Linked DNA regions of Danio rerio. The protein of the gene in region 4 interacts with the protein of the main gene of each other region in a biochemical or structural test. Links are inferred from orthologs where the notes say so. Each region holds a gene or a part of one and is shown on either strand. Other genes may lie near its edges. The genes, in order: lipoprotein lipase, apbb1, dab1b, lrp1ab and thbs1b.

Region 1 (7,100 bases), on a different chromosome or scaffold from region 4:
TACATATATATATATATGAATATTATGTGACCAAACAGGCTGATAATCATTCTAAACCCAACTAATGCAGTAATATCTAAAGGACACTTATAAGGGTGCCAATGACAAACATGAATTCTTCAAATTCCTGTTGACCGTTGCATAACCTGAAGGAGGACAGAAGACATTTCGACATCTGAGACTGCAGATATAAAGCAACAGCCAGACGCACTGCCAGCCTGAAATGCAGAGACAGTCACAAGGCGCTCGCTCTATCATGTTTACAAGCCTTTTTGCACTATATACTGTTCTTTATCTGCACAACTCTGGTTTGCACTCATTTGCCCTTAATGTCATTTTATTGACATTAAGGGCAAATGCTTGCATCAAATTCAAAGCTCTGATGTTTGCCTACAAAGTGACTTCTGGCATTGCTCCTTCTTATCTGCTCTCACTTCTGCAGATGTATGTGCCCTCCAGAAACTTGCGTTCTGTGAATGAACGTCGCCTCGGGGTTCCATCCCAAAGAGGGAAGAAATCACTTTCGCGAACGCTCACGCTCAATCTGCCCAGTTGGTGGAATGAACTCCCTAACTGCATCAGAACGGCAGAGTCACTCGCTGTCTTCAAGAAACGACTAAAAACTCAACTATTTAGTCTCCACTTCACTTCCTAATCTGCAATTGCCTCTCTGAATATCACACTAACTGTACCAAAAAAAAAAAAACACTAATACTACTAATACTTCCCTTCTTAGACTTTACAGACCTGAAACTTGCCTATAGCACTTATTCATTGTTGCTCTTAGTTATGTAAATTGCTTCCTTGTCCTCATTTGTAAGTCGCTTTGGATAAAAACGTCTGCTAAATGACTAAATGTAAATGTAAATGTATTGTTTACAAATTTTTATTCCTTTTGTATATTTTTAGACTGCATTTTATGTACAATTGTATATAATGTAAATTTAATTTTTCTTAAAATTCTACTTTTTATATTAACATTATATGTTATAGGCACCTAGCACCTAATTCTTTATATGTCCTGTACATGTGGCTGAATTGACAATAAAGCTGAGTTTGACTAATATCTCTATTGTTCCTCTAAAATAACAATGAGCCTCCTGTTCTTCAGACTTATCTACAAAAAGGACTAATTATTATTAATAATTATAGTGAATAACGAATAAAAGCTGGCACTGACTGTCATTCAAAACAACCAAAAAAATTACTAAAGTCCTTACTGCTGCTTGTGTGTGTTTAGATTTTGATAGGCTTAATATTATAATAAAACTTTTTTTCACATTATATATAACGCCACAGTCTACCTGAGTATTGTTGCTGACCATGTCCATCCCTTTATGTGTACTCATCTTCTGATGGCTACTTCCAGCAGGATAATGCGCCATGTCATAAAGCGTGAATCATGTCAGACTGGTTTCTTGAACATGACAATGAGTTCACTGTACTCAAATGGCCTCCACAGTCACCAGATCTTAATCCAATACAGCACCTTTGGGAATGGGAGAATCGCATCATGGATATGCAGCTGACAAATCTGCAGCGACTGCGTGATGCTGTCATGTCAATATGGAGCAAAGTCTCTGAGGAATATTTCCAGTACCATGTTGAAGCTATGCCACGAAGGATTAAGACAGTTCTGAAGGCAAAAGGGGGTCCAACCTGGTACTAGTAGGTGTACCTAATAAATAGGCCCACACGGAACCTGCGCGCACAGAATTCCACAGATTTTCCGCAGATTTCTGCAAATTTTTAGCCCATCATTAATTCTGTTTATTTACTTGAGTAAATGTGTAAATCTGAATTTGTTCAGTTTTTATTCAGTAATTTATTACTTTTTATTTTATATATTAAGGTTTTAGTTATGACACTCCACTAGATACCCCCAAAATAATTCCGCAGAAATCCGCAGATTTTTACCAAAATTCTCCCCAGAAATAGCAAAAAACGTCCGCAGATTCCGTGTGGCCCTACTAATAAAGTGAGTGTGTGTGTGTGTGTGTGTATGTATACACATATATATATATATATATATATATATATATATATATATATATATATATATATATATATATATATATATATATAATAAAATGTCTTTATAATTCAACCATAATTCATTAAAAATTGTTTTTAATTATATAAACATTTAAACCATCTTTTAAAAATATTTATCATGCAAAGAAAAATCTTAATATGCTTTAAAAACAGGTTTAACTGAGTGGATTTAGGCTGCTGTGACCATAAGCTTTTTGCGTCACTCTCTTTAAATGTAAGTGTTTAGCATCACAATGTGTAAATCTGTGCAAAGCCAGGCCAACACACAAAAAGCCTCATTCATGCATATGCATTTGTTTACGTTACGCTTGTGATTGACAGTTGGCCGAATGTAAATCTCGCTCATTTGATTTGCTGATAGCGCCGCGCTTTGAGTTGATAACCACGCCTCTCGCTCACTTTCAACCAATTGCTGAAGGGCGTGAAAAAAACACTCATTGTTCGGTATAAAAGCCGTGAACAGCTGCAGGTTCACAATGATAAATAACACGCGGAGCTTCCGTTGAAATCATTCGCTTAACATCATTGCTTAACACTGCTTTGCTCTATTAAAATTATTGATTTATTGTGTAACTTACTATGGGACAGGAAAATTTCTGGCTGCTGCTAATGGGATTTTCTCTAATTGCGAGCGAACCAATTTTCAACTCCACTGAAGAAGCGTTTGCAAGTAAGTCTATCTACTATTCGACGTGTTTCTGGTTCATGTTTAACATTTAATGTACAATCCAGCAGAAATTAATGCTCTATATGACCTGTAGAAGTCTATCACACACATATACTGAGTGTAAGAAGCTTTTGGGTCTTTATATTAGCCCTCAGAATTACATTCCTACGTTTTAAACACAAAAACTAACGTTAAAGCTCCTCATTCGTGGATAATACAGCAAAATTAGCTTGACAAACTTAGTTTATTGATTTAAATGTATGTTATATATTTTTATTGAAATATTTGACAGCTTACTTTTGCAATAAGTGCATTGCTTTCAGCTGTAGAAATATGTAAACGTATATAAACAACGCAATAGATACATGTTTGCGTTTAAATTGTCAACTCGCAGGTCCAGGATCAGTGTGGTACTATTTAATAGGATTTACTTGTACTGGACATTGCATGTGGACTGATTCTGGATTAGCAAGATTTTATAAAAGTCATGTATTACAAAGAACAATGGCTTGGAAATCATAAATCTTAGCAACTAGATTGTGTTCAGATGAGAACTTTAACATGCACATACAGCAAATTAAATAGTTAAATGCATATGCTAAGTAAATAGTTCTGATGTGAATGATATTACAAAGTGTTTACTTATTACTTTTTAGGTAATTTTACAGATTACAGTGACATTGAGTCTAAGTTCTCCATCAGAAGTGTTGAATTTCCAGACGAGGATCTTTGCTATCTTGTCCCGGGACAACAGGACTCCATTTCAGACTGTAACTTCAAAAATGATTCACAAACCTTCCTTATTATCCACGGATGGTCGGTAAGTTTAGTCATTTAGTCAGAAAATGCATTTATTAATTATGAATGAAGCATAACGTTGGTGCAATGTTTATTTATTTACATATTTTTTACTATATTTTCACCTTTCACTCCGCTTCGCTTCCCTATATGCATTCCATGTTGTACTTTAATCTTACTAGGCTTCTGCTGGTTGCAGATTTACTTGTTGTGGTTAGTTACCAAAGCTTTTATAACGGTATTATCACAATATTGACCTATAAGCTGCAAAAAACTGGTATAATAGCCCAAAAATTACTTGGTGTATTGCTTTACAGTATATATAGTACATGCTCATAATAAACATGTTTCAACCAAAATAAATTGCTAAAGGATTATAGTGCACAATAGGTAATGCTATTATAGTTACATGTTATAAGTTAATTAAAAAGCTGTATTAATTAGTTATTTACTCTATTTAATAAAACAATTACATATTTAGATTTTAGTTGTTAGACATTAGTTTTTAGGCACTATATTAGAAGTTAATCAAGTTAAACACACGTTAATTACATTGACTTTAGATGAATTAACTGATGTTGACTTGTAATATTAACAGAATTGTAAATCTTGTATGCCAGATTAACATGTGAATGTTTGAAAATAAATCAGCTATATTTATGCACTTACCGCTGTGTTAACTAACCACTAATACAACAACATGACTATTTTTAAGGGCACTCTAAAACTTTCAATTATAAATATTTATTTGCAATTATATTAGATGATATGCAAGTGATAAAGTACATCCAGGAGGTTGTTATCACAGAATAATGTCTGAGCGGTTTATCGGCAGCCTGATGTGAAAGACGGTTGGATATAACTGAAGGGTTTATTCTGCGAAAATAACCATTTTGGATGTACTTTATCCCACTTATTACATGGCTACTCGCCACAAATCATAAAAATTAGACTTAAAAATTCTGCTCTGAGCCACAATATTTTATTAATTCTTTATTTGAACGCAAAGCAGAAACAAAAACAGCTGATGGAGTATACACTAACCTGTGCATTATTCAGACACAAGATGGCGCCAATCAGCCAAAAACACAAAGCAAATAGGAATGAAAACAGCTGATGGAGTATACACTAACCTGCACATTATTCAGACACAAGATGGCGCCAAACAGTCAAAAACGCAAAGCTGACAGAAACGAAAACAGCTGCCCAACGCAATATTCAGTCAAAAGATGGCGCCAAGTAGTCAAAAACACAAAGCAGACAGGAATGAAAACAGCTGATGGAGTATACACTAACCTGCGCAATATTCAGACACAAGATGGCGCCAATCTGCCAAAAACACAAAGCAAATAGGAATGAAAACAGCTGATGGAGTATACACTAACCTGCACATTATTCAGACACAAGATGGCGCCAAACAGTCAAAAACGCAAAGCTGACAGAAACGAAAACAGCTGCCCAACGCAATATTCAGTCAAAAGATGGCGCCAAGTAGTCAAAAACACAAAGCAGACAGGAATGAAAACAGCTGATGGAGTATACACTAACCTGCGCAATATTCAGACACAAGATGGCGCCAATCAGTCAAAAACACAAAGCAGACAGGAGTGAAAACAGCTGATGGAGTATACACTAACCTGCACATTATTCAGACACAAGATGGGGCCAAACAGTCAAAAACGCAAAGCTGACAGAAACAAAAACAGCTGATGGAGTATACACTAACCTGCACATTATTCAGACACAAGATGGCGCCAAACAGTCAAAAACGCAAAGCTGACAGAAACAAAAACAGCTGCCCAACGCAATATTCAGTCACAAGATGGCGCCAAATAGTCAAAAACAAAAAGCAAACAGAAATGAAAACAGCTGATGGAGTATACACTAACCTGCACATTATTCAGACACAAGATGGCGCCAAACAGTCAAAAACGCAAAGCTGACAAAAACAAAAACAGCTGCCCAACGCAATATTCAGTCACAAGATGGCGCCAAATAGTCAAAAACAAAAAGCAAACAGAAATGAAAACAGCTGATGGAGTATACACTAACCTGTGCATTATTCAGACACAAGATGGCGCCAAACAGTCAACAACACAAAGCAGTCAGAAATGAAAACAGCTGATGGAGTATACACTAACCTGTGCATTATTCAGACACAAGATGGCGCCAAACAGTCAAAAGCACAAAGCAGACAGAAATGAAAACAGCTGATGGAGTATACACTAACCTGTGCATTATTCAGACACAAGATGCCGCCAAACAATCAAAAACACAAAGCAGACAGATGAAAACAGCTGATGGAGTATACACTAACTTGCACATTATTCAGACACTAGATGGTGCCAAACAGCCAAAAACGCAAAGCAGACAGAAACAAAAATAGCAGAATAAAGCGACTGACCAAGTATTATTACAAAAACAGTCGCATGTCAGACAAGCAGATGCATATGAATGTAAAGGTACTTAAAGTATATAGATATGAACGTGTTTACTGACGGACAAGGTGATTCGAAGTTCCCAGATGAGGTGTTATTTAGCAGTTGTTATCTCAGAATAACAAACCTTGGAATGTTGCAAATCTGACCAATCAGATTTGAGCATTCCAGACAATCATATATTTTATTATATTATATTATATTATATTATATTATATTATATTATATTATATTATATTATATTAATCCCTCTTATACTGTCTCTAGGTTGCGGGTCTGTTTGAGAGCTGGGTTTATAAGCTGGTGACGGCTCTGTATGATCGTGAACCCAGCGCTAATGTCATTGTTGTGGACTGGCTGGATCGGGCCAACAAACACTACCCCAAATCAGCAGAAAACACCAGGCTAGTGGGGGCCGACGTTGCCAAGTTTGTCAACTGGCTGGAGGTAGGCAGAGATTTGCATTGCTAGCATTGTACGTTTTATCGCTGTTGTATTTTTGTAATAACGTCATGACAGCCAAATATTACCTCAACCTTAGTACACTAAGGTTGAGCAAAAACACATAAATTAGAGATAATCCTTCCAGGTAAAAATATATAAATAATAATATAATAATAATAATAATGATAATATAATTTAATAATATAAAATATAAATTAAATAATATTTTAAAAAATTATATATACATATATAAATTTAAATAAATAAGTTTTCTATTCTGATTTCATGGTAACTTCTAATTTTTACCTATGTATATATACTTTTAAAATAATAATAAAAATAAAAACAAAACAGTTTTAAATTAAATAAAAAAGTTAAGTTAAATTAAATTACTCACTCACTGTTCTTTAGCTTCAGGGCTCACCACAGTCTAATAAACCGCCTATAATTAATCAAATTTTAGCAATGTGACATTATTGTAAATTACAAACATCCCTATGATTGTTATTGTTAACTAAACTATAATAATTGAAAAAAAAGCTGAAATAAAACAACTAAGTAAGACACTAAAATTGAACTAAAACTCAAACTGAAATAGAATAAGATAATAAGACCTAAACATAAATGTACAAAAAAACTAAATATTAAAAATGACCATATAATATCATAAAAAATACCAAACCTTTAACTGAAATAAG
Region 2 (6,602 bases), on a different chromosome or scaffold from region 4:
GGCCTTAAGCGTTTGTAATAATAATAAAAAAACTATATTAAATTAAATTCTATCTAACATAGACTTGTCATGGCATTTATACATTGCTGTTCTCTGGTGGTTAGAAGTGCTTTTTTATTTTCATTAAGAAGTCATTTTGAATATAAGCATCTGCTTGTCAACTACAAAACCCCTACTATCAATCACCACATATTCACTATGTTTTCTGATCCATTTCAAGTGTTAATTCTTCTTATAAATGTCTGAAATGGAGATTAAACCAATCCTACATATTATAGTGTAAATATTAAAAGATAACTTACCTTAGAGCAGATCTCATGCATGCTTGTGGCGATGTTTTTTGCCGGGGTGTCACATCGAAATACATGACACTTGAGCACATGTGTTAACTTGTCCCTGGCCACATATGCAAAGTCCCTGCAATAAAAGAAAACAGCCAAATAAAGAGATCGATGTCAGCCCAATGTATCTGCACACCAACAGCAACTTCCGATAAAGGACTTATTGAAGTATGTGATATGTATTCCCGGAGTGGGGAACAAAACACTGCCTTATAGCTGACACTGCTAGAACACCCTTTGGTGTAAAAAAAAGTCTTAAAAGTTTACTGCACTAGCAATGCTCCCAGAGGTGATGCTTCACTGACATTTCGATAATATATTGTTTATGACTCCATCATAGAAAGATTTTCTATAGAGAAAAACACAAAGAAATACTATATCGGTCACATACACCTATGACCACATATACCGGTTAAAAGTGTGGGGTCAGGAGGACTTTTAAATGTTTAAAAATAAGCTTATCCTGCTCATCAAGGCTGAATTTATTTAATCAAGAACACAGTAAAAAGTGTAAAAAAAAAAAAAAATCGTTATTGCACTATAAAATAAGTGTTCAAAAGTAGTTTATAATTTATTTTAATATATTTTTATTTATTTCAGTGATTTAAAGGTAAATTTTCAGCATCATTACTCTAGTCCTCAGAGTCACATGATCTTTCAGAAATCATAATATGAATTCATAATATGAATAATTATTATCATGATTGGTATTTTATTAATATTTTTATTATTAATAGTAATAGTTATAAACATAATGACAGGAATAATAATTTCATTTGAAGCTACATACAGTAATAAATAAATATTTAATAAATACATTTAACTTTATGATTAATAAATGCAGCTTTAATGAACAAAACAATTTTATTTAAATTATTAAACAAAATTGATAATAACGAAAAAATAGAAAATAAATAACCCCATAATTTTGACCTGTGGTGTACTTAAAGATGTTCTCTTTTACAAATCCACTTGAACATTATGAACCTGTATATTATAAGAGGTAACCAGAGAATCATTAGCCAGAACAAGCAAAAATTATGCCTTAATCATTTGTATGTTTGCTTTCTTCATGACATAATGTATAAAAACATGTAATAAATCACAATGCACTGGCAAGAAATCAGAATCCAACATGACTGCCGGGAGCTCAGACACATACGCTGCATCGCATGAAAGAGTGTGTGTGTGGTCACGTGACGTTTCAGCAGTGTAGTCTGGACGAAGAGTTGTTGAGAAACGCTGGGTGAAACGCTAGTGTGGACGCGGGTCTTTTTTTATTCTAAAACGGCACTTTAAAACTAAAACGTATTAGTGTAAACAAAGCCTTAGTCCACCTATTTGTGATGTTAAGTGGAATTTTGTGTCTTCTAAATTTGGTTTATTAAAAGAAAAATACATAAATTATTGTGTTACTGTACATTAAAAAAAACTACTTAAATCCATTCTCTGAAACAAAATGCTGCAAAAACAAGGAAGACGAATATTCCTATAGAGAAATATGTCTGAAATAGTACAAACTCTAAAATGTCAGTAAAGCAATCCCTCACTGGGTGGTCCTGATATTTTCAATCAATAAGATTATCATCACAGAAAGTTACAACATTTAAGTCAATGTTGAATGAGCTGAGACCAAATGCTCCAACTAAAAATAAAAAATTAAATAAAAATAATATTTTATTATGAAAGTAAATGTAAAGAATAATGTGAAAAATGTAAGAATAAGGCGGAATTTATATAGTTACTTTTTATGAAATACAAATTTAAAGACAATCTCAAATGCAGTTTGCATCAACAAATTAGCATTGTAAAAATACACAAGAGCAAACAAAAACAATATAATATACACAGCAACTCTACCTCTCCCTGGGATCCAGAATGCAGCAGAACAGACAGAACGAAAATATTAAAACATTGCAATGCAGTATTATCTGAATTACACAACAAAACAATCTTTCAACAGCCTATTGATGTTACCATAGAAAAGATTGAATTAAATACAGCAAAACATGCTTCAGTTTGTGTAGCATTGTGCATCTGTCAGTCTACGATCATATGAATATCGTCAGCTGTCATTACAATTAAAAATGAAGCAAAAATCAAGTTAAATTGTAGGCAAATTATTAATTATGCTCACAGACTCACCTGCCATCATCACGACCGACGCCCCAAACACGGATGCTAACGATTGGCTGTGAGTGAAGCAGTGTTTGTCCATGAGGTTCAAACAGATTCAGCATCTCATTTTCCAGCACCAGCAACATTTCCTTTCCCTACACAATGCAAACAATGTCATACAATCATATTATTTGTACAAGGTTTGTAGAACATATAGATGATACTCAAAATCCTGGATTATTAAGGGACTAAGCCGACAAGAAAATAAATGAATGAAGAGTTTCAAATGACAACGGTGGACCCACCAATCCTAATTGAACATTCCTTTGATACTTCCTTTCTTGAAATTCAAATGATTTCAAGTAGATGCACATACCTCACCCCAGATGCCAGCTGTGTCATCTAGATTGTGTTTCTGGTAGGACAACTGTCGGATGCAGTTATTAACAGCAACACTACTCCTGCCAGGAGCCATTTCCTCTTCTGTTATTTCCACCCAGCCCAGAGAACGCACTGCAAAACACTGTAAAACACAAACATGAAGAAAACAAGCATTTCGAGGTCGTGTATGTGGTCAGCCATCGATGCATTTACCTTTGAACCCTCAATACTGCTGAAACAAGTCTGTTCCTCTTCCTCCTCAGTCTGAGAAAAACTGAATAGAAAAAAAAGTAATAGAAAAAAAGAAAAAAAGAAGAAAAAAAGTCAGTGCACCTGTTGCTCAAAAACCAAAATTACAGGTTCAGTTAAAAAAGAATGAATAAGAATGCAACAGAAGCGTCCATAGGTACATAAATGTCAACAAATGCATAACGTCAATGCAATGTTAAACTTAATTTGGTAATACTGAATAATACTCAACTTTATGTATAATAATAATAATAATAATAATAATAATAATAATAATTAGGCACCTTTCTGGCAACTCAAGGACACCGTACAATAAACAAGAGCAATAAAACAACAAGAGAAATAATAAAAATTACACAGCAAATAGTGCAGACAAAATTATTTAGGCATTAAAAGCCATCTTAAATAATTGGGTTTTGAGTCTTGATTTGAAGCGTGTGAGGGAGTCAATGTTTCTGATGGCAGGTGGTAGTGAGTTCCAAAGCCGCAGAGCAGAGCGGTTAAATGCTCTGTTGACGTTAGACGAGCAGAGGGAACAGACAAGTGGAGGGAGGAACAAGATCGCAGGGTGCAAGAAGAAACAGAATTGTGGATGAGGGCAAACAAATATAGAGGGGCGAGATTGTGGATGGCTTTGAATGTTAACATCAAGATTTTTAAATCAATTCGAAATTGAACACGTAACCAATGAAGCTGCTGCAGGACAGGGGTGATGTGATGATACGGGTATATTGGAACCTTTGATTCATCTTGTACCTGAGATTGATTGAGGCATAGCGTAGAGTTGCTCCCTCAAACTCCTTCAGACTTTCATCAGAAGATACAACCTCCGTCTGAAAAACAGAAAGAAAATAAATTATACAGTGTTCCCACTTTAAAGCTAAATATCGATATTGCTTGACCTTCACTGACTAAAAAGCTGCTTGATGTTTTACAGTTACTGTCTGCTGTCTACAGTCTTATAACTACTTGCTGTTTTATGTGGCTGTTAAATTATCCTTTTCTATTTTGTTATGGCTGTACTTGATCAAAAGGGTGCTTCTCCTAAATACTGAGCATAGGGTCTAAATACTTAGGACCATGGGATATTTCAGTTTTTCTTTTTTTATTAAATCTGCAAAAATGTCAACATTTCTGTGTTTTCTGTTAATATAGAGTCCAGTGTGTACATTAATGAAGAAAAAAAAAAAGAACTTACATGATTTTAGCAAATGCAATGAAACAGAGTGAAATATTTACGGGGGTCTGAATGGTTTCCGTAAACACTGTACTTTTTAACACAGAGTAATTTTGAAGACAAATTTTTTAAAATGTATATATTATCCTGGCCTCTTATCCTTGGTTAACAGGTACAATATTGTGACTGTATTTAACTTGAGGGGCATACGAGTTGATAAGCATGAAAAGAATAAAATAGAGCTGAAAAATAACTTGTCCATAACAACAGGTGTGAAACAGTACCATGCAAAAAAAAAAAAAAAAAAAAATAGTGTAGAAAAAAATTATTTTGGTAAACAGTCCAAAATAAGTCCAAAAATATTACATGGTAAAAAACCTCTGACTTTTAATTTCTGGAATAGATATTTTAAAATTCCATGACCCGTAGGAACCCTGACAATATTATCGTAAACAAAACAAAAAAAATTGAATAAAATTATCTGAGACTTCATTATTAACCTACCTGCCAGAGTTCATCACCACTGAATGTGTTCTGGTGTGAAACATCATTCCATGCAATCTAAATACAAAATGCACCAATGTTAAAAACATGTATATTTGCACTCACTTGTGGGTTACTAGAATATGCTGATCAACTAAAGAATTATAATATAATATTATATTAATATAATGTTATATTAACCTTTAAAGATTATGGGCCCTATCATACACCCGACGCAATGTAACACAAGGCACGACGCAATTGTTGTTTGCTAGTTTCAGCTTGGCGCAAGAGTCATTTTGACCTTTTGCGCCATTCTGTTTAAATAGCAAATGCATTTGCAGTCATATGTGCGCCCATAGGCGTTCTGGTCTAAAAAAGGAGGCGTGTTGAGGTGCATTGCTAGCACGTTGCTATTTTGAGAAACTATAATAGATTTTTCAGTAGACCAGAACAAAGCCGGTCTATCGTCCAGCACAGAGCGCGTTAGTTGTGCGCCTCGCTTACACACTGCTTAATACACACAAGATGTAGAGCAATACGCAAATATCTTTAGATATGAAAAATTATAAAAAAAAAAAATAAAAAAAAAAAATATATATATATATATATATATATATATATATATATATATATATATATATATATATATATATATATATATATATATATAGGATATAATAAGGATATATATATAGAATATAAATATAAAGAATTAAAATATTACAAAAAATATTATTTTTTAGCCAACATAAATATAAAAACCATACTGTCATGCCTTCTTCATCTCGGGAGGGTTTTTTAGTTTATTTATGACTATTTGCTTTTGTATTATGTTATTATTATTAGCAGTATTATTTATTATATCCATATTTATATTTGTTTTATTAAAAACAAGCTTAGATTTGTCCACCTGTCAGGTTATAGATCATATGGGGCACAGCATGTGTATTTGGATATAACTCAGGTTTTTGACCACACTTCATTATTATTGTTCATTTATTCGTTTGCTGGAGATTAGAACTGAATTTAGAAATAGTTTTAAAACAAATCTTTGCGCTTAACAATTAAAAATAATTATTTATAGGCTAATTGATGTCTGTGAGTACAAGGTTTCACCATCCACAAGAGCGAAAGTTAAAGTAGATAATGAGAGGCCTTATCTCTCATTCTTGCTCTGCAGATGTTCTGTTTAACTGTTTTCTTGCTGGTGAAACGCTCAGTTTTCTCACTTACAAAGTCGTCATGTAAATAGCAAATGCGCTATGGAGCGACGCAACTGGCTCTTAAAGGGAATGGGAGATGAGACTCTGATTGGTTAATTCTCAAAACACACCTATAACTCATTAAGAAAATAAGCTCAACCCTTTTAAACAATGCGCCCTGCGCTTTGTACTTTGTGCATGGATCGTCAAAATAGAGCCCCATGACAGTAGAGGGGTGACGTTACTGCAGTTGGGCAAGTAAAGCTAAGGTGAGTAATACCGCTTCATCTTAAAAAAAAAGGGGTGGAGACAGGCAGAAACTAACCAGGTTAGGTTCACAGAGTACAATAACATTGTTAAAGTTACCTCTCTTTCAGAAACAGGCTTGACTTACCCAGCCTACTCGAGTTTAACAAACCTGCCGTTTTGAATCAGAAAACCCAGAGTTTCTCTCATTTCAGGGTACATACTGAGTTTTCACTTAATCTCCTTTCTGAAATGGGGCAATGGTCTTGCTGTTTTCAAACATCTCAAATAACGGTATGGCTGTTTTTGTCAAATGCAAATATCTGGTGCAGCATATATCTGGATTTTTGAGATAGATTTGTTCAAAGACAACATGTTAGTAATTAATCTTATTTTTACTCA
Region 3 (7,352 bases), on a different chromosome or scaffold from region 4:
CATATAAAAGGATTACTTATGCACATCACCTCAAAAACAGAGGAGAATGGCCCTGAAGCGCACAGCATAAGGTGAGAGATGACAGCTGTCTGTGCTATCTGGGGCTGCTTATTGATCATAAATGTATTGTTTTCACTTCTGCGCCATGGAAACACCGAGATTCATTCGACAACAGTTTGATATGTGAATATAATTCAGTCAAAAGAATGCTAGAACCGTATGAGCACCGGCAAGAGCTTTCATTTGAGCTATAACTTGTACATGTGTCATATGAAAAATATGAAAATGAACTAATGTTCAATACCCAGCCATCCCCATAATAATACCTTAATAATTAAAACTCATTCATTCTTTTTCCTTCGGATTAGTCCCTTTATTCATCAGGGGTTGCCACAGCAGAATGAACCACCAACTTATCCAGCAAATGTTTTACACAGCGGATACCCTTCCTGCTGCAACCTAGAACTGGGAAACACTCTCACATTCACACACACGCTCGTACACTGGCCAATTTATTTAATCAATTCCCCTAAAGCGCATGTGTTTAGACTTTGAGGGAAACCGGAGCAACCAGAAGAAACCCACACAAACACAGGGAGAACATGCAAACTCCACACAAAAATGGCAACTGATTCAGGCTCAAACAAGTGACCTTCTTGCTGTGAGGCCACACTGTGCTAACCACTGAGCCACTGTGCCGCCCACATTATAAGTAATTAATTAATTTTTAAATTAAGTCATTTTTTTTAGATATTTATGTTTCAAAATGTCACTATATGACAGTATTACAAATCAGACAAATCTTAGATTAGGCTCTTCCACTGTAAATGACACGTTCAAATGACGTCCAGCAGGATTAAAATGTAGGACAAAAACAAACACAGACGGCGCTGACATCACTGCAGACACAACAGAAACAACTGGGAACGAAAGCATCTGTTAAATATCAGGATTAGTGTTTATATCAGCAGTCATGCCACTGCACACTGAGGCTGCTTCGATTTTAAAAACAAAATAGCGCTCAAAGATTACGGTACAAATTTTTACAGCAATGTTTGTAAATTGACAAACTAAATACATGGACATGATCGTAGATGACAGTTGTGAACTGCCAACAACAGTCAGTCAGAATAAAGGATGCCTCTCTAACCTGAAAAAATACTACTGTAATTTACAGTAAATAAATTTGTTTTAATAAATTGTTTTGGATTCATCGTAAAAATACAGCAACCGTAGAATTATTGAACTGGTAAACTAATAAATACTGTAGAATACTTTACTTTTATGCTGCAGTAAACTGTGGTGTATAGTTGCAGAAACTATTAGCGGTTGCTAGAAGGGATACAGCTGCAGCCAAAAGTTTATTTATTGAATTAGGCCTACATATTAATTTTATTAATGTGTACCCGTAAACTCAGCCCTCCTAGTATTTTATTATATTATTCATATTATTTAGTAAATTGCCCATTAAATTGTATCCCTTCTAGACTACCTCAGTGGAGTTGACATTAATAAAATGAAATTTAATGGGTAATGGGTCAATGGCTTTGAAGTAGTCGTTAATAAAACACAAGTAATTAATTTAATTAATAAATAATCCTCGACTTCCGACCGCAGGTGCATCCCTTCTAGAGTTACCTCATGGGTGTAGAAGTTAATAAAATGCAATTTAATAGCAATTTAATTATTACTATGAATAAAACTCGGTATAATTACTATTTTTACATTACTGTAAAGGTAAGATTTAAGAGTGGTCGTTAATAAAACACCGTTAATTAAATTAATCTTTAACTTCCGACCGCAGATGTATCCCTTCTAGACGTTTACCTCAGCTGGAGTCGACGTTAACAAAATGCGATAATGGGTAATTTAATTAATAATATTAATAACACTCAGTGAATGACTGTTTTAACATTACTGTTAAGGTTGAGGTCAGGGTAGTCGATAATAAAACACAATTAATGGCTAATTTAATAACAGAAATAATTCCAGCTAACCTCCGACTCCAGCTGTATTCCTGCTAGACTTTACCTCAGTTTATAAAATGCAGTTTAATGGGTAATTTACTGAATAACATGAATCATACTCGGTATGATTACTGTTTTTATATTTCTGTGGGGATTATGTCTGGGGGTAGTCGTTAATAAAAACACAAGTAATGGTTGATTTACTGAATATTGGAAATGCGTTAACTTCTGACCGCAGCTGTATCCGTTCTAGCAACAACCGTCAACCGGTGATTTTGTTTGTATTTCGATATGTATCGCGTTTCCATAGCAACACATTCAAGCAAAATAAAAAATAACACTACAGCATCAACTACAGATATTTTTATTAATGTTGGACTCCAGCCAATTTTTAAACACCAATCTAAAACATTATTCGTACGTTTTTTGCCCTGTACATCACCTGAGTGTTTTGAACATAGACCGTCAAAAGCACTACAGATTTGGGCATCTGTTAGTTTATATATATGTAACGGGTGGGCTTCTGATTCCCCCATTTTCCACTTAATCCTCTCCCATCCCCCTTCAACTCATCTCCGCATTATCCTCCGTGCATTTGAATGATTTTGTCACGGGGGTCTTTCTGCTTTTTTTTCTCCCCCTCCCCATCGCCTCATTTCTCTCCCCTCCGCCGATTATTCTGCTGTTTTCATTTCTCTCCAGCGTCGAGAAGCGGAAACTGAGCAACTTCACATGCTGCCTCTTGATATTTGACTTTCGCATGTAGCCTATATGTACATGCAGGAATGGATTTAACTCATAATCCGAGCACTGGAGCTGCTGGACATTGATAATGGTTGGAAATAAATGGATGTATATCGGAAGTGACCGCGACGAGGTGAGTAGCAATGCGTTACAGGTGCGCAGTGTGTTTATAAGACACTATAGATATTTATAAGATATTATAAGACATTATAAGATATTATAGACGTGATATTTTATTTCCGAACTCTTTATTTTGGTGTTTTTTTATGAGTTCTGCAAATATATAGATGTGAAAAGAATAATATGGTTAAATTAAAATGCATTTTTATGAAAGCATGATGACAGCAAAATATAATAAATGATGTAGCGTATCGGTTGCTAATTAGCTGATTGTTTTTTAATTGATCTGTAATTGATTGAATTGTAACGTGGGAAGTGAATCACTGTACTTAAAAATGTGTTAGATTGTGTATGGTTAGAAGCTGGGTTATTTCAACCCAAACTATGGACAAACCCAATTTTTGGTCTTGTAAATGTAATAAATAATTAACCCAGCGGTTGGTTTTGTTCATGTTTTACTAAACAAGAATGCATAATAATAATTAAAAATTAAGTTTTGATATATTTACAGTAGTACATTTACAAAATATCTTAACAGAACATGATCTTCACTTCAATTTCAGTCATTTTTGGCATACAATTATAGATTTTGTGTTAGTTTTGTAGTTCAGGGTCACATTTCTCATAGGATTTTCATATAATTTTTCCAACAACATTGGTTTATATTCATTTGTTTTTGTCTATTGAGTCTTCTATTATGTAAGCGTCAGTCGAACAAATGCACTTTTCAGGGATGTTTAGATTTACTCATCAGTTTGCATATCTGATATGATTTCACATCGCATGATCCAAACCCCCAGCACCAAATCCCAGAGTCTGTCTGTTTGTAAAATACGCTTTTGGTATTGTTGTGATTTCAGCTATCCTTATTTTTCGGCTATTAAAACTAAACCCGGACATAAAAACACTTTTAGCATAATTTAGCGCATGGAGTTTTCAGAATTTGTTAATCTTACAGTCTTTTAAAATGCTGCTTATTTTTTACCCAACAATGGGTCAAACCAAAAGCTGTTGATGTTGTTATTTATTTATTCAATTAAATTTGAATTAGAATTATGTGTTTTTGTCTTGATTCTAGTCTAAATATCTAAAACTTCTAGACAAGAAAAAAAATATTGTCTTGTTTTTAGAAATAATGCATCAAAATTTAAACAATATCTTGTACTTGTCTAGAAAATGCTTCTTTGTTTAAGATTTTTTTTAGATATTTCAACTAGAAACAAGACTAAAACGTTTAAGTAGGAACATTTTTGCAATGTAGGTTGTTTGTGTCCATATTTTGGGGTAAAATAACCCAATATTGTTTATAATGTATGAATTAGTTATGCAAAAATAGCAGAATGGGAATGTGTTTGCCGAGTGTCTACATTCAAAGTAAAAATGCTGGGTTATTTCAACTCAAATTTGGGGTAAAATATGGATGAATCCAACTTTTTGATTTATTTTGGTCATTCATTCATTCATTTTCCTTTGGCTTAGTCCCTTATTTATCTGGGATCGCCACAGCAGAATGAACCAACAACTATTCCAGCACATGTTTTACACAGCGGATGCCCTTTAAGCCACAATCCAGTACTGGGAAATCTTTTGGTTATTTGTTTTTATTAAATTCATAGACCAAATTTAACCCAACCTTTTGGGTTTGTCCACATTTTACCCAAGTTTGGCTTGAAATATCCCTCATTTAAAAAAAAAAAAAAAGTTTGAATGCATTTATATCCATGAATATGGTTTGATCTGGAAACTTTGATGCTGTGATATTAGTTCTGATTGTCATATCATTCAGATTCAAGACAGTCACATTATAAATAAATAAGCACAGAAATCAGTATGATCAGCCTCCCAACAAAACCTAAAAATTAGCATGTAAAAAAGACATATAGGTTCTTCATTCGTTTATCCTTCGGCTTAGTCCCTTTATTCATCAGGGGTTTTATCCAGCATATGTTTTACACAGCGGATGCCCTTACAGCTGCAACCAAGTACTTGGAAACACACATTCAAACACACACATACACTACGAACAGTTTAGTTCATCAATTCCCCTACAGCGCATGTGTTTAGACTGTGGGGGAATCCGGAGCACCCAGAGGAAACCCACGCAACACAGGGAGAACATGCAAACTCCACACAGAAACGCCAACTGACCCAGCCAGGACTCGAATCAGCGACCTTTATGCTGTGAGGGCACAGTGCTAACCACTGAGCCATCGTGCCGCCCCTAGTTTTGATTTAAATATTATAAATAATTCAGATTCAAGACAGTCAAGTTATAAATCTGTAAACCTAAATCTTTATATAAATAAGCATAAACACATTGCATGTAAAAATGATAAATTGAAGATTTGCTGTTCAAACTGTCTAGCTTGTGGTTCACTCCTGAAATATGAAGAGTTTAGATGCAAAAACCTCTAAGTGGCACCTGAAATTTCCTCTAAAGTGTGCATTTTTCTCAGGCTTCTGTGTCTTGGTTCAGTAATTTCACTTTTGTAGGAAAGAATAGGTCACCTTCATCGATTTTAACATGAAAGAACTGAACATAAACATGAGAGGCGGAGAAAAATGCTCGTTGTAGAAGAAAATTCTAGATGGCACTTAGAGGTTTTGCATCTGAACTCTTAATATTTTCTTGCAGATCTACCTTATATACTACATGCAATGCTCAGACAGTGGGGTTTGGATCCTGCGATGTGAAATCTTATCAGACTGACATGAAAACTGATGAGTGAATGTGAACATGCCTGAAAAGCGCATTTGTTTGACTGATGCTTACATAATAGAAGACTCAGTAGGCAAGACAAATGAATAGTAGATATGAACAGAGATTGAGTAAATGTGACCCTGGATCACAAAACCAGCATATATGTTGGAGGATGATATATATTTTTTGGCATTTAGGCAAAAAAGTACATGGCAAGGGTCAAAATTATAGATGTTTTTTTCATATTATAGTCAAATGTTAAGTATTATATATGCAGGCATATAGTCAAAGTCAAAACGATTCACCTGCCTGTAAATTTTCTTTTTCAAATATTTTCCAAATGATGTTTGACAGATTCAGTGAATTTTTCACTATATTTTATATCATATTTTTTCTTCTGGAGAAAGTCTGATTTGTTTTATTTCAGCTTGAATAAAAGCAGTTTTGTAATTATTTTAAAATAATTTTAAGGTCAATATTATATATATATATATATATATATATATATATATACAGAGGGTGTCACGATCCTCCAAATTCTCGATTCGATTACATTTTCGATTCTAAAGGCACGATTCGATTCGATTTTCGATTATGAATAATTAATTAATTAATGACCAATTAATTATTAGTAGCCCACCGTTTAAACTACCTGACCTGCATGGTCTGTTTAACCCATAAACAAATTATACAGTAAATGAATAAAGGCAAGACACACACATAATTACCACCTGTCAATCACTTTTTCTGCGGGACTCGTGAATAGGCAGTGATCTGTGTCGTTATAATGGCGTCGGTAACAAAGACGCACAACCAACAGGAACCAGCCAACAGTATCTGAGGTGTTCGCTAAAATGACTAAGTACAAGTGAGTGAAAGATTGAAGCAGTCCTCGGACTGCCTGGACCTGCTGTCTGGAGCGCATGGCTGTGTGTGCGTCTGTGTCTGTGTGGTCACGTGATGTGCATTTTCAGAGGTAGAGAGGAAGGAGGGCTGCTCAGAAATGCTACACGCCACTGTGGATGTCAAATCGTTGTTCTAAAAACAAAGACAGTGTAAACAGGGCCTGAGTGTGAACTTTTCGCGAGCGGATTTGCAACGGGGGCGGGCGGAGGATCGCGATGCCGGTGTTGTCTATCGGACGAACCGTACGTAATACGTACATAGCAGAGCTTCAAAACTGTGTTTTTTTTTGTCGACAACACGAACGTTGTCAACATAACTCACTGGAAATCCAAAATGCTTCCACACCGGCGACTTCACTGAAAGAGGAGAGGGTTTAAGTTCTGTCGACGGGTCTCCTGCTTCTGCAGTTTAACAAGCACTTCAACAAGCCTGTTTTTTTCCCGCTTGGCAAGCCAAGCTGACGTGACATGGGGGCGTGGCAGCATTGACGATTCTATTTTTTGATTCGATAATCGAAATTGAGCATAAAATTTCGATCAATTTCAATTAAAAATCGAAATTGTGACACCCCTAATATATATATATATATATATATATATATATATATATATATATATATATATATATATATATATATATATATATATATATATATATATATATATATATATATATATATATTATTAATGTTATTAGCACCCTTAAGCAAAATTAGTTTTGGATTGTCTCCATAACAAACCACTATTATACCAAGACTTGCCTAATTACCCTAACTTTACCCTAATTAATCTAGTTAATCCTTTAAATGTCACTTTAAGCTGAGTATCTTGAGTAGTATCTTGAGTCAAATATTATATATATCAAGTAAATCCTGGGGCTTCAGTGTTTTCAAATGTTTTAAATATAGACCGCAA
Region 4 (6,602 bases):
AACTGACGGCAAACTGTGCAAAACATCACTTAATTTTCTGGGCCATTGGGCAGTCCTTATTGTTGAGCCCAGATAGGTGACATGATAAAAATCTAATATCACAATAGAAGTAATTTTGATAAAAAGGTCATATATACATTTAATTAATTTATGTAAATGACTTTGTTTTTACTATGATTTGGCTTTGTTTTTTGTGTGATGTGATCATATTATTGACTTTATCAGAGCATGTGTAAAAAAAAAAAATGAATAACATTGAAAACATTTTTCAAAAACTTATGTTTACAGGTCCAACATTAAACAAATATTGCCAAAAAATAGCTAAATTTATTAAAAGTACTTTCAAGATTACAAATTTCTCATGATGCTGTTATTAATGTTTCTGTCTACATTCCTGTAATGATGTGTAATATGGTGCTCATTTAAATAATTAAACAATATTACAATGAATTTTGTGACACTACAAAATAAACAATAGAGCATTATGTGTAGACTTTTTTATATTGTCCATATGGCATATATACGGTCATATTGCACAGCCCTACTTGGAGAGTAAAAATAGGTGTAATTAAGTTTATGTAACAGTGCTAGTCACCAGATGGGTGGTAACTTTTTAAATAATTTTAACAATGCCTTTATTTTTTTTTAAATGCCTAATAAGTTGTAAAAACTCCATTAATTATACAAGTTTGTAATCTTACATGCAGGATCTCAATCTGTTGCCGTGAGCAGCTCACAATAAAATTGGTTTCTGTGTGTTGTAAATAACATTCAGTTTCTGGCACAGACTCATTTGACTTCATAAAACCTTTATTTATCATGCATTATTCATAGACTGTAAAAGATACGGACGTAGTATCCATGACGTCACCCAGAAGTTTCTGAAGAGCACAAATGAAGCTACAAGTAGGCATGGCCAACTGTCACCATTTTGTTTGCACGTCATTGCACCGTCAGTGGAGCATTGAGCCACTAAGCATTGTTTTTATACAGTTTTTTTTACAGGAGGAAAAAGCAAATTGCTTCCAAATTCTTCAAATATAATCTGTGTTAGTAACTGCTAAGCTATTTATGAAATCTAGGCATAAAACTGTATGATAATGCTTCCAATGACTGTTCTATTGCCTACAGTTAATCAATCTGTCAGATGGAGAGAAGTCAACAGATCATTTCACTCACCTGGGAAATGGAGGCCAATTAAATGATTTGTGAGCACAAATAAGTGCACACAGCATGCCATATTATCTGATAATTGTAAGAAATAATTCCAAAAGGCCATTGACTGTGTAAAGCCACATTAAACAAAACAAAAATACGATTTATATGCCAAGTTCAGCGGCTAATCAGCTGACGTGGCATGACCGTGACCAGTGAGATCTAGCTGTCAATTAAGTGGCCACGCCCTTAATTATGCAGACTAAATATAACTTAATAAAAACTAAACGGATGAGTTATAGAAAAAAAATTCACCCCCCTCACAGTTGTTATAAAAGGTAATATTGGCTATTTACATCAAAACCATCTTTTGTACCAGGCTATAAACATGTCTTTATCAGCTGTAAAATTTAGCATTGCAGTCAGTGGACATCTGGAGTTCCTGGAGCCCCCAAAGGAAAGTTGATAAATTGTAATTTCAGTTACTTCTGTATTGGCTTCATGAGGGAGAGCGGGATGTTGCCACTAGGTATTATAATTTATTATTATTATTTCTTTTCAAAATGCTGGTAGGCATTGACTTGCATTTTACAAGTCTCCAAGGACCCCAATTTTCATTTCAAAATCATCTTTAATGATTTATAAATGAATTTCGTTATTTTTGCCCTTAAAGACAACCTCAGACTTGGAATCAAGAATTAAAGTACGTACCATCAGCCTTGCACGTGTGGTTAATCCTGGTGAAGTATTTGTGGCAGCTGCATTTGTAGGAGCCTTTGGTGTTATTACACACATGAGAACATACGCCAAACTGTTTGCACTCATCCTTATCTGAAAAAAAACGCAACAATATTAACAATGTTAATACGCACACTGTAGGTTCTGATATAACGTGCTGAGTAATAAAGTCTCTTTGGGTCTTATGAAGACTGCAGGCAGTACCTTCACAGGTGTTGTGTCTAACACTTTGGAAACCAGGTTTGCAGGAGCAGAAGGTGTCTGTGCCATTAGATACACAGTGAGCCTCATCGCCGTCTCCACACAGAGATTTGTTACTCTTACAGTCGTTCAGCATGGTGTCTTCAAAAAACAAAAGAAAAATTTAAAAAGAAATTTAGAGCACTTCAATATCAAGTTATAATATTAAAACGTTTATTTTATCCATAACGATCGATGGGGACATTAAAATAAACTCATTTGAATTACAATGTTTATATATATATATATATATAAAAATACAAAATAAAAACCATAAAAGGATGGCATTCAATTATTTCAGAGAATATTTCGCTGGAACTTCTACCTTTTCTCATTCACTTTTTAGTTCTATTTGCATTTTGCACTTTGACAAGATATAAATGTATAATTATTATTATGATATAATTATTAAAACAATACAATTGTAATATAATTTACATTTTTGATTGTGACAAACCTGTACTATACAGATAGCAGCATCTCACCTGTCTTGCAGCCGATCTCATCAGAGCCGTAGTCTTCACAGTCGTTGAAAAAGTTGCAACGCAGGTTGGCACTGATGCATTTGCCATTGGTGCACCTGAACTGGTCTTTATCACATGTGGATTCATAGTCTGTATGAACACGTCACAACAGTTAATGCAAACACTCGCTGATAAATGACTGATGCACAGCAGAGCTGAAAACTCACCACAGCTGGCCTCATCTGAGTTGTCTCCACAGTTGTCCACTCCATCGCACAGCTTGCTTCTCGTGAGACACACACGATTATTACGACAGCGGAAATTTCTAGTCGGTGGGCACTGGAAGTGTCCTGAATAACAGCAGAGAAGATTTAATCTTAGCTTTAAGTGCATTCATTCTGTTTTAAATGTATCATCATCAACCAAAACATTGACAACTGAGAAGGTTTTAAAATCAAATTAAAGACTTTTTAATAACTAATAAATGAAATAAATACCATACAGACATAGTAAAAAAGTCTGGTAACACTTTAGCTTAGGTGACAATTTGTGCTATTAGCTACTGGCTAACTAGGGCCAGACAGAATCTGCTGACATTTTTTTTGCTATTTCTGCTATTTTGGGAGTATCGTAAATTAAAACTTAATATATGAAATTTTCTAAATAAAAGCTTTTAAATTGTATTTAATATTTACAATGCAAATCCATCTACAGTAGATCCACTTATTTTGAAAACTAAGCAAGTCTCTTGTATAATATCTACTGAAAACTAGAAAATATTACTTTATAACACTTTCATATGTCAATAATATTACTAAAATAATTTAAATGCTGAATAAATATAAATTTAAACACATTTACACAAGCAAATAAATAGACTTGGGCTATAAATCTGCGTGTTTCCATGTAGGCCTACTTATAACTTACCTACTATTAAGATATTAACTGTTCATTAGAAGTTAAGTGAAGTATAATCTTGTTCTGCATCCCTAATCCTACCAAATACCTAAAACCCAACTTCTACCTTAATAACTATTAATAAAAAGCTAATTACTAGTTTATTAAGCTAGGACTGTTAATTAAAGGTGCAGTAGGTGACTGCCTTCAGAAACATTTTTTGTTGTGCTGGCTGAAAGTCTCTTCACATTCAAATAGTACTGATTAAAGTAAGTGATCTAAATGTATTTTTATGTATTTTTATATTCTGGTTAAGGCATAAGACTAAAAAATGTTTGTCCAATTTAAATGTCGAGCTGACATCTCCCATAATTCTGATACGGAGCTCAAACTGTCTGTCAGCAAATGCAAATTTAAGTTACTGCGCACCTGTTTGTACGCAGCTCTTCCATTTGTGGACACACGTGCATGCGCGTTCACGAGAGTGGTAGAGAGAGAGCGAGCAGTAAAAACATGCTGAATCGAAACTTTTTAAAAATCTTGAATCAATATTGGAGTTACTTTCGCATGCTGGAGGAAGGACGACACCATGGCTCAAGTATTTCTCTTGGACAGGTAATGTTATGATTTGAAACTATTTTTGTCACGCAGAGCTGATGTAGACTGGGTTGTTATGACTGAGTTATAGGCACAGAAGTGTAGTTTAGCCACTGAAATCTTCTGGTGTAAGATTGATGTGACTATTTTCTGTTTCATAAAGGCCTTTTACAGCATTAATAATGTAGATTTTATTTAGTTTAACAACAGAACATCAGTAAATAACGCTATTCCGCCTAGCCTACTTTACTTAGCTTAAGATGGTTTTATATTCATATTGGTTAATTTTTGAACATTGACAACGTGCGACGCGCTTCCTATGGTGTTTACCGCTACTCTGAATATTCGGTCAGAAGTAGCATGTAAGTACAGCTTAGAATTGAGTGTAATAATGAGTGTAATTCCTGCACGACGCCGGCCAAGCTTTAGCTCAACACATGAGAGAGGGTTCTGCTGTCATCTTCATTAAGGTTCGTGCGCTTGTGTTTTCAGGTGGCGTGGCTTTGGACGGCAGGGGAGGGACGGTGTTTTAGAGATTTATGCTAACAGGCTAGCATTGTGGCAGATCACCTTCTGCACCTTTAATATGTTAATAGTGAATTGTGACAAAAAAATCAAGTGTTACCAGAAATCCTATTTTAACACACTATTTAAAATTTCCTACATAAATTAACTAGCAAACGGCGAAAGTTTAATAAACTACAGATACCGGCAGGTAAATAAAAAAAATAAATAAATACCATTATACTTCACTATTGATTACATTAAGAATTACAAACATTCTGATGTATATCATTCTCTGAAATGCTATATTTAAATATGCAAACAAGCAACTACATCATAAAGCATGCAAAAAGGTTTGGTTTAAACTTTTTTGGACATATTAAAGTCAAAATGATTTTCACAATTACTTTGTAGAATTAAATGTATATATTCAGGCAAATTATGCATGAGCATGTTCCTCTGTCAAAGCCTTCAAAATATAAATATGAATATAACCATGAAGTGTGGTGTAAATGAAGTAAATGCTCCTAAATTAAAATGCTTTTATTAAAAATATACATTGTTATTGAAATCTACAGATACAAATGGATAATGTTTGACAAATGTAACAGTTAAATGTAAATTCTGGATGATTTTTTTTACAATAGACTAAAACAAACACTATAAGAAAAGCCAAATTTCCCCAATCTCTTTTTGTTGAGTGTGTGTGTGTGTTTGTGTATGTGTGTTTGTCTACGTGTTTTGTGACATATCAGGACACTAATCTGTATAATGACATAGGTATGACACAGGTATTACAAAAAGGAGGAAAATGTGAGGACATTGGTGATGTCCTCATTTCTCAAAATGCTTATAAATCCCACAGGATGAGTTTAATCAGAGAGTAAAGCTGCACACAGTCTCCTGTGATGGTTAGGTTTAGGGGTAAGTCAAGGTGAGGGCAATATAATATACGGTTTGTGATGTATAAAATGTATGGAAACCTATGTAATGTCCCCACTTTTTATAAAAACAAACGTGTGTGTGTGTGCGTGTATGTGTGTGTGTATACTTACTGCATGCCTCAGGGTTCTCATCTGAATTATCTCCACAATCATCCTCTCCATCACACTTCCAGGACAGTGGTTTACACAGAGTGTTATTACACTGGAACTCCTCACTGGAGCAGTGCCGCACCTCTGAGAGAGCAGGAGTAGAAAAATCAGATCAATCCATTAGACCAATCTTAACAAGAATACACATGTATAAGCCTGCAATAAACAGACACGCATACCAGTAATCTCACAGCGCTCTTCATCACTGCCATCAAGGCAGTCCACATCAGCATCACAACGCCAGGGGAGCGGAATACAGTGACCATTCTTACACTGAAACTGATCCTCCTCACACTTCAGATCACAGCCATCCTAACAGACACACACAGAAATAAAGATTCATATATTATACTGTCATGTAATATCACTTAACATAACACATGGTGTTAAATAAAAACAATAAAATTTAACACATTCAAAATATTTAATTCAATAAATAAAGCATTACAAAATATGTTTGATTAGGGATACAGCATACGATCACAGCAATTTCTGCAATTTAGTTTTAATTTTTAATACAGAATGTTTATTTGTCCTTAAATTATACTCATTTATTTGTCCTTAAAAATGTTTAGTTCAGGTAGGATTTTTATTGTGGTATTAAAAACTACAATTACAAACTGAAACATCACTAGTATGTACAATTTAGGTGTCAATCTAATTTATATAACTTACATATAAGTTTAAAATGTACTACAAATACATAATAGGTAAAAATAAATGAATAATTAAAACAGGTAAAAATAAATGAATAATTAATAGGTATTATGTGAAGCAAATTGTTAAAATTATAGTATTACACTGCAGTATGGTCGGGTTGTAACTATAATAATATCCATACAGAGCAATTAACAGCCAATAACTCATTTAGTAGACACATTGAGTAATTGTAATCACAGTAAAGTGAATGGAA
Region 5 (5,389 bases), on a different chromosome or scaffold from region 4:
GTCAGGGAGGTTCATGCTCTCCCCATGGGCAAGCGAGGAATTAGCAGATTAACCCCGAGGAGAGGCGCTTCTGCAACATTCCTCACTCCTTCTCAAGACTTGCGTGTCTGTCTGTAGAAGACCAAGAAAGTAGACCCGTCTCAGCCTTTAAACTCGAAACTAACCTTGACCTTGGTCTAAAAGATCTATTTTGAGTGTCTTTTAAAAGTGTTAAAGCTTTAGGGCATGTAGACGTTTACTTTCAAGTACATGTCAGGGCCCATAATGAACGTTTTATAATGGCTTCGACCTTTCGTGCGATGCACAGAGAGCCTTAAAATCTCACGAGACACAAACATGCAGTAATAAAAAGCAGGCAAAGGCAATAAACATCCGTTTTTCGTTTACGACGTCTATCGTCTGTTTATTATTCTGAAGTATGTACCAAAATAATCGCTATACGTACTGTAAAAATAGCATTTTGCATCGTGTAACTACGTAAAAATGTTTACAGTCAAGCATCTCTAATTGTACAAAAAAAATAACAACACAATAAAGATACAAACAATGAAGAACCGAACATCCTCACGTCAGTGTGCAAACTGTTTATACAGATGGAATCGCCTCCGTCTTAGGCGGCACTCCATGATAAATTATTTAAATAGCATTTATCTACACACATATGAAACAGTCTTACAAACAGAGACAACAAATAATAATTTATCAACTTAAAAAAAAAAAAAATAAGAAGGAAAAAGTACTGGACATTGAAGCACTGGCAAATGTATTGCTTAAAAAACACACATTGTTGACTCCCATTTTTACTCTATCCATTGTGACGTTGGGCTGTTTGTTCTATATACTATTTACAACTTGTGCTACAGTAGCAATAAGGCAACCGATTTGTTTTCTTTAAGCAAAGGAAGAAAAGCTTTTGCTCGATCAAATTACAAAACAGCAATGAGGTAATATTTGTACATTTAAAGTTTTTCTTTATCTCTCTCTCTACAGAAACGGCTCAGCAGATCGTCTCCTTTGGAAGTGATGGATGAACATTTCTTGGATCGGACAGAGCTTCGATTATGAGGGTTTGCTTTTCTTTACGATGTTGAAAAACTTGCTTAAAGTGTGGGTAAAATCTGTCTAGCCAAAGCATTTTGTAAGTGCTACATAAATATACATATATTTAAAAGTCTAAACTTCCCTTAGAAATCAGCATTTGTAAAGGAGACGGGAGTGCTTGGTTATCTAGAGTCAAACGAGTGTTTCTTGTATTGCAGAATCTTTAAACCTTGCTCTGTCCAACTCCTCTTCATACTCTACAACCTCTCGTTTTGCCATTTCAAATGAATTACTAGTTTATCCATCGAGCCCTGAGAAAACTATGCCCACTATACCATGAGTTATCTCCTGCCAAACCTTCTGCTTAGCCAAAATAATAATAAAATGACAGATTGGTCCTTTTAAAAATCACCTTCTTTGGCTGGCAGATCTTTTACTTGTTACATACTTCGATATCTGAAACATTCTCATTGCTTTGCTTCTCAGTTTACAGTTTTAATAAAACACTGAATATCACAATAGTAACCTTTCTTTAAAAGGCTTCTGCTCTTTGAAGTAGCCATCATTTTGGCTTATCTCATGAATAGAGCATAGAAGCGCATGAGAGAGAGAGAGAATAAAGGTTTTGAAGTGCATAGCTGTCTGCTGGGAGCTTTTCCCCACACAGAGCCCAATGAGGTTTTTCAGAGAGATCTCGGTCTTCCCAAATAAGCCAAGCGAGGGAGACTTTCTTCTGCTCTACCTGCTAATGGTGGAGGAGTCTAGATCCGGTTTCTATCCCAACCAGTGACATTACATTGAAGTTGACCAGCTGCTTTCTCACTCCACCGGTGTGCGAGCGACAGCAGAAAAAAAGTAGCATCGAATCTGTCCCTGGACTTTGCTTGGAATACATATTTATATCGAAAGGTGCATCTTTGATAAACTTCCAGCCTGTGCAATTACGCATCTGAAAAAGGAAAAGACAGGAAGAGTTATTGTTGAGTTTCGGGAATTGATGTAAATGAGTGCTTGTTTAGAAGTCTATGCGATGTGTTGATGCTCACCTCTGCATTCGTATTTGAGGTCTGAGAAATACACCATCTCTTGTGAGAAGACGAAGAGACCTAGTCTTCCGCCTGCGTATGTTTTGTCGTAGATTCTGCCAGAATCTGCCATGATCTTTTTGCCTTCATACATGACCACTCTGAAATATGCAGAGAAATATTTTGTCAGCACATTAAGTGAAGATAATTTGGAAACTCATTTCGAGAGGATCACGTGCTTATGATTAAACACAGCTGGTCATGCATTAGCATATTTATGATTCACCAATTAGATGATTCCTAAGTAGCTATAAATACCCTAAGTCCCATATCACAACCATCTTCGTTTTGAAGAATGCCCTCTTCCACCCCTACTTCTCCTCCTTTTTTGGATGGGTGGCATAGTGGCCCAGTGGTTAACATTGTTGCCTCACAACAAGAACATCACTGGTTCTAGTCGTTACCAAGCTAGCCGACGTTTCTGTGCGGAGTTTACATGTTCTCCCCGTGGTCACATAGGTTTCCCATGGGCCCCCCGGCTGACTAATTGACTAATCTAAATCGCCACTATAGACGTGCTCCTAGTAAGTAGCTAAATCTTAAGAGCAATCCCTATCTGTTCATTAGCTACTACGGCAGGGAAGTTTCAAGATCTACCTGAGCTCAAATTCCACTCTTGCCCTGCAACGGGAGGGAGCCCTGGGCTTGAGGATCTTATGCCAAACACGCTTTATAATCAATCATCAGCTAAGTGTGAACTTTTGAAAATAGCCTTTTAAGAATGTGTATGACACATTAATACTAATACAAATGTTTGCTATTTTTCATGTTTTAAGCATCATCATTTAATTTTAGACTTATTTATAGACTAATATTATTTGCCTGCATGATGATTTCAGATGGTATTTGTAATAAAAAATACACTAGAAAAATTTTAGTTTCGATATATAACAATATTTTTTTGCAGCTTTTTAAATATATTAGATTAGGTTTTGGATTTAATAATGTTTATAATATTACCTTATGTGTCCAGTTCTTGGTCTGTGTGTCAGGTGCCATCTGTAAGCAGTAAAGTCCTTCCATCCCACATTCTTTGGGTCATGCCACAATGTGCGCACCTATAACAAATCAAGTCAAATTTAGCATTCACATGAAGGCTCTCAAACCTGATATTATCCGTTTGACTTAAGAAATAAAGAAAATATTTGAAAGAAAGCTGGAAACCTGTAACTATTGACTTCCACAGAATTTTGTTACAGTTTTTCTGACTACTGGAAGTCAATAGTTACAGGTTTTCAAAATATCTATTTCATGTTTAACAGAAGACAGATACTCGTAAAGGTTTGGAATCACTTGAGGGTGAGTAAATAGTGAGTATATTTTCAGTTTTGGGTGAACTATCCATTGAAGCACACTTTACCTGTCCTGGTGTGTCTCCAGTGTGCCAAAGGGCGTTTCTCAGATGCTCCCCAGGTCCTGTGGTGGAATTAACCACTTTGATGGACAGCCCTGAGTAACCCTGTGCTTTGGTAGGTGTGCTGGACCAGTAGGTCTGTGTGATCTGCTTCCACATGACCACATAGAAGCGAGAGCTGGACTGGTATCCGAAAACAAAACCAGCATAGTCGTCATCCCTCTCAGTGTTGATGAAGAATGTTCCACTGAAGTCCACTGAATTGAACTCATCAAAACCTTTAAGAGTTTGAAGAAACAGGTAAGAATTTTGTGGTTGCTGACATATTTTAGTTGTATGATTCATTTTTTAATGCTTTTTGAATTCAGAATGGAATATAAATTAATGGACTGCATAAAGTTTTATCCAGTCATATTTAATATAATAATTATTTTTGTTTCATTTTTGTGCTAGTTAATAAATACATTATATAATGCATGTGTCTTTGCAAGCTAAGGTACCATGCAGGATTTTGTTAACCGTTTATGTATATAAAGTTAGCATTTCCAGGTGTTTTTCCATATATTTTTCTGTCGTAGCATTCATTAAATTTAATTCTACCCTTTTTTTTTAGCTTACCAACAGCAATGCCAGGGTCGCAGTTGACTGTCTGAACCAGCTCTTTTCCTTGATGACGAACCACCCAGTTGGGATCGATCTGAGAAGTGCCCTTGGGATCCAGAGGAACCATCTGGAACTTGCGGAAGTCGGTTTCACTGATATCGAAGTTCTCAGGACAGACATCATAGATATCCAGAACATTGTCCATGTCAAAGTCATCTTTACAGGCATCGCCACGTCCATCGCCTGCAAAAGGAGGAAGGTAAACGCTTAAGTATAAATCTGTACATTTATGAGTGCAATGTGAAGTGTTACAGATATTCCGGTGTAAAACGCACCATCAGAATCTAGCTGATCTGGATTGAAGACCAGTCTGCAGTTGTCTTTTTCGTCAGGAATGCCATCATTATCATCATCGTAGTCGCAGGCATCTCCTTTACCGTCCTTGTCATGATCAGCCTGGTTGGCATTGGGGATGTATGGACAGTTGTCCAGGTTGTTCTGGTGACCGTCTTCATCGATATCCTGGTTACTGTCACATTTGTCTCCAACGCGGTCAGAATCAGAGTCCAGCTGTTGGGGTTCAAGTAGAGAATAAATATTTAAAATTTTTGGTTCAGTATTCACATTTCTACTGCGTTTTAAATTATGGGTTCCTCTTCTGGATTTCAGGTACTTTTATTTAAAAAAAAAAGAAAAAAAAAGACAACAACCATATATACATTTACAAACATCATTTTCATAATGGATGAAAATAAATCACAAATTTAAATATATGTCTTGCCTAGTTTTCTCTATTATACAGTTGAGGTCAGAATTATTAGCCCTCCCATTTTCTTCCCCTATTTGAAGATTTTTTTCAACACATTTCTGAACCAACTAGTTTTAATAACTCATTTCTAATAACTAATTTATTTAATCTTTTCCAGGATGACAGTAAATAATATTTGACTAGATATTTTTAAAAACATTTCTATACAGCTTAAAGTCACATTTAAAGGTTTAACTAGGTTAATTAGGTTAACTAGGAAGGTTAGAGTAATTAGGCAAGTTATTGTATAACAATGGTTTGTTCTGTAGACTATGGAAACTATAATATATATATATATATATATATATATATATATATATATATATATAATATTATAATATATAGCTCAAAGGGACTAATAATTTTGACCCTAAAATGGCTTAAAAACTTTATTCTAGCCGAAATAAAACAAAGAAGACTTTCTGCAAAAGAAAAAATATTATCAGACATTTTGTGAAAATTTCCTTGCTCTGTTAAACATAATTTGGGAAATATAAA

Evidence for each region.
Region 1: the proteins of lrp1ab (region 4) and lipoprotein lipase form a complex in vitro, tested with the Homo sapiens proteins (3 studies listed by BioGRID). The link is inferred for Danio rerio from reciprocal best matches to the Homo sapiens genes LRP1 and LPL.
Region 2: the proteins of lrp1ab (region 4) and apbb1 form a complex in vitro, tested with the Homo sapiens proteins (2 studies listed by BioGRID and IntAct, with this or other methods). The link is inferred for Danio rerio from reciprocal best matches to the Homo sapiens genes LRP1 and APBB1.
Region 3: the proteins of lrp1ab (region 4) and dab1b form a complex in vitro, tested with the Homo sapiens proteins (2 studies listed by BioGRID). The link is inferred for Danio rerio from reciprocal best matches to the Homo sapiens genes LRP1 and DAB1.
Region 5: the proteins of lrp1ab (region 4) and thbs1b form a complex in vitro, tested with the Homo sapiens proteins (3 studies listed by BioGRID). The link is inferred for Danio rerio from reciprocal best matches to the Homo sapiens genes LRP1 and THBS1.

The regions. Positions count from the first base shown.
Region 1 is NC_133177.1:58,680,084-58,687,183, forward strand, and holds the start of lipoprotein lipase, read left to right. Parts: upstream 1-2,530; 5' UTR 2,531-2,634; coding exon 2,635-2,725; intron 2,726-3,378; coding exon 3,379-3,542; intron 3,543-6,225; coding exon 6,226-6,405; intron 6,406-7,100. UniProt on the Homo sapiens protein: Key enzyme in triglyceride metabolism.
Region 2 is NC_133185.1:18,264,065-18,270,666, reverse strand, and holds part of apbb1 (amyloid beta precursor protein binding family B member 1), read right to left. Parts: intron 4,828-6,602; coding exon 4,771-4,827; intron 3,923-4,770; coding exon 3,846-3,922; intron 3,115-3,845; coding exon 3,054-3,114; intron 2,983-3,053; coding exon 2,836-2,982; intron 2,615-2,835; coding exon 2,487-2,614; exon of another isoform or gene 2,479-2,486; intron 418-2,478; coding exon 303-417; intron 1-302. UniProt on the Homo sapiens protein: Transcription coregulator that can have both coactivator and corepressor functions. Adapter protein that forms a transcriptionally active complex with the gamma-secretase-derived amyloid precursor protein (APP) intracellular domain.
Region 3 is NC_133177.1:1,741,110-1,748,461, reverse strand, and holds the start of dab1b (DAB adaptor protein 1b), read left to right. Parts: upstream 1-2,661; 5' UTR 2,662-2,844; intron 2,845-7,352. UniProt on the Homo sapiens protein: Signaling adapter of the reelin-mediated signaling pathway, which regulates the migration and differentiation of postmitotic neurons during brain development.
Region 4 is NC_133198.1:28,412,666-28,419,267, forward strand, and holds part of lrp1ab (low-density lipoprotein receptor-related protein 1), read right to left. Parts: intron 6,002-6,602; coding exon 5,869-6,001; intron 5,774-5,868; coding exon 5,651-5,773; intron 2,948-5,650; coding exon 2,825-2,947; intron 2,748-2,824; coding exon 2,619-2,747; intron 2,236-2,618; coding exon 2,098-2,235; intron 1,987-2,097; coding exon 1,867-1,986; intron 1-1,866. UniProt on the Homo sapiens protein: Endocytic receptor involved in endocytosis and in phagocytosis of apoptotic cells. Required for early embryonic development. Involved in cellular lipid homeostasis.
Region 5 is NC_133195.1:31,774,003-31,779,391, forward strand, and holds the end of thbs1b (thrombospondin-1), read right to left. Parts: intron 4,654-5,389; coding exon 4,419-4,653; intron 4,327-4,418; coding exon 4,099-4,326; intron 3,759-4,098; coding exon 3,487-3,758; intron 3,185-3,486; coding exon 3,087-3,184; intron 2,228-3,086; coding exon 2,088-2,227; intron 1,991-2,087; coding exon 1,983-1,990; 3' UTR 372-1,982; downstream 1-371. UniProt on the Homo sapiens protein: Adhesive glycoprotein that mediates cell-to-cell and cell-to-matrix interactions.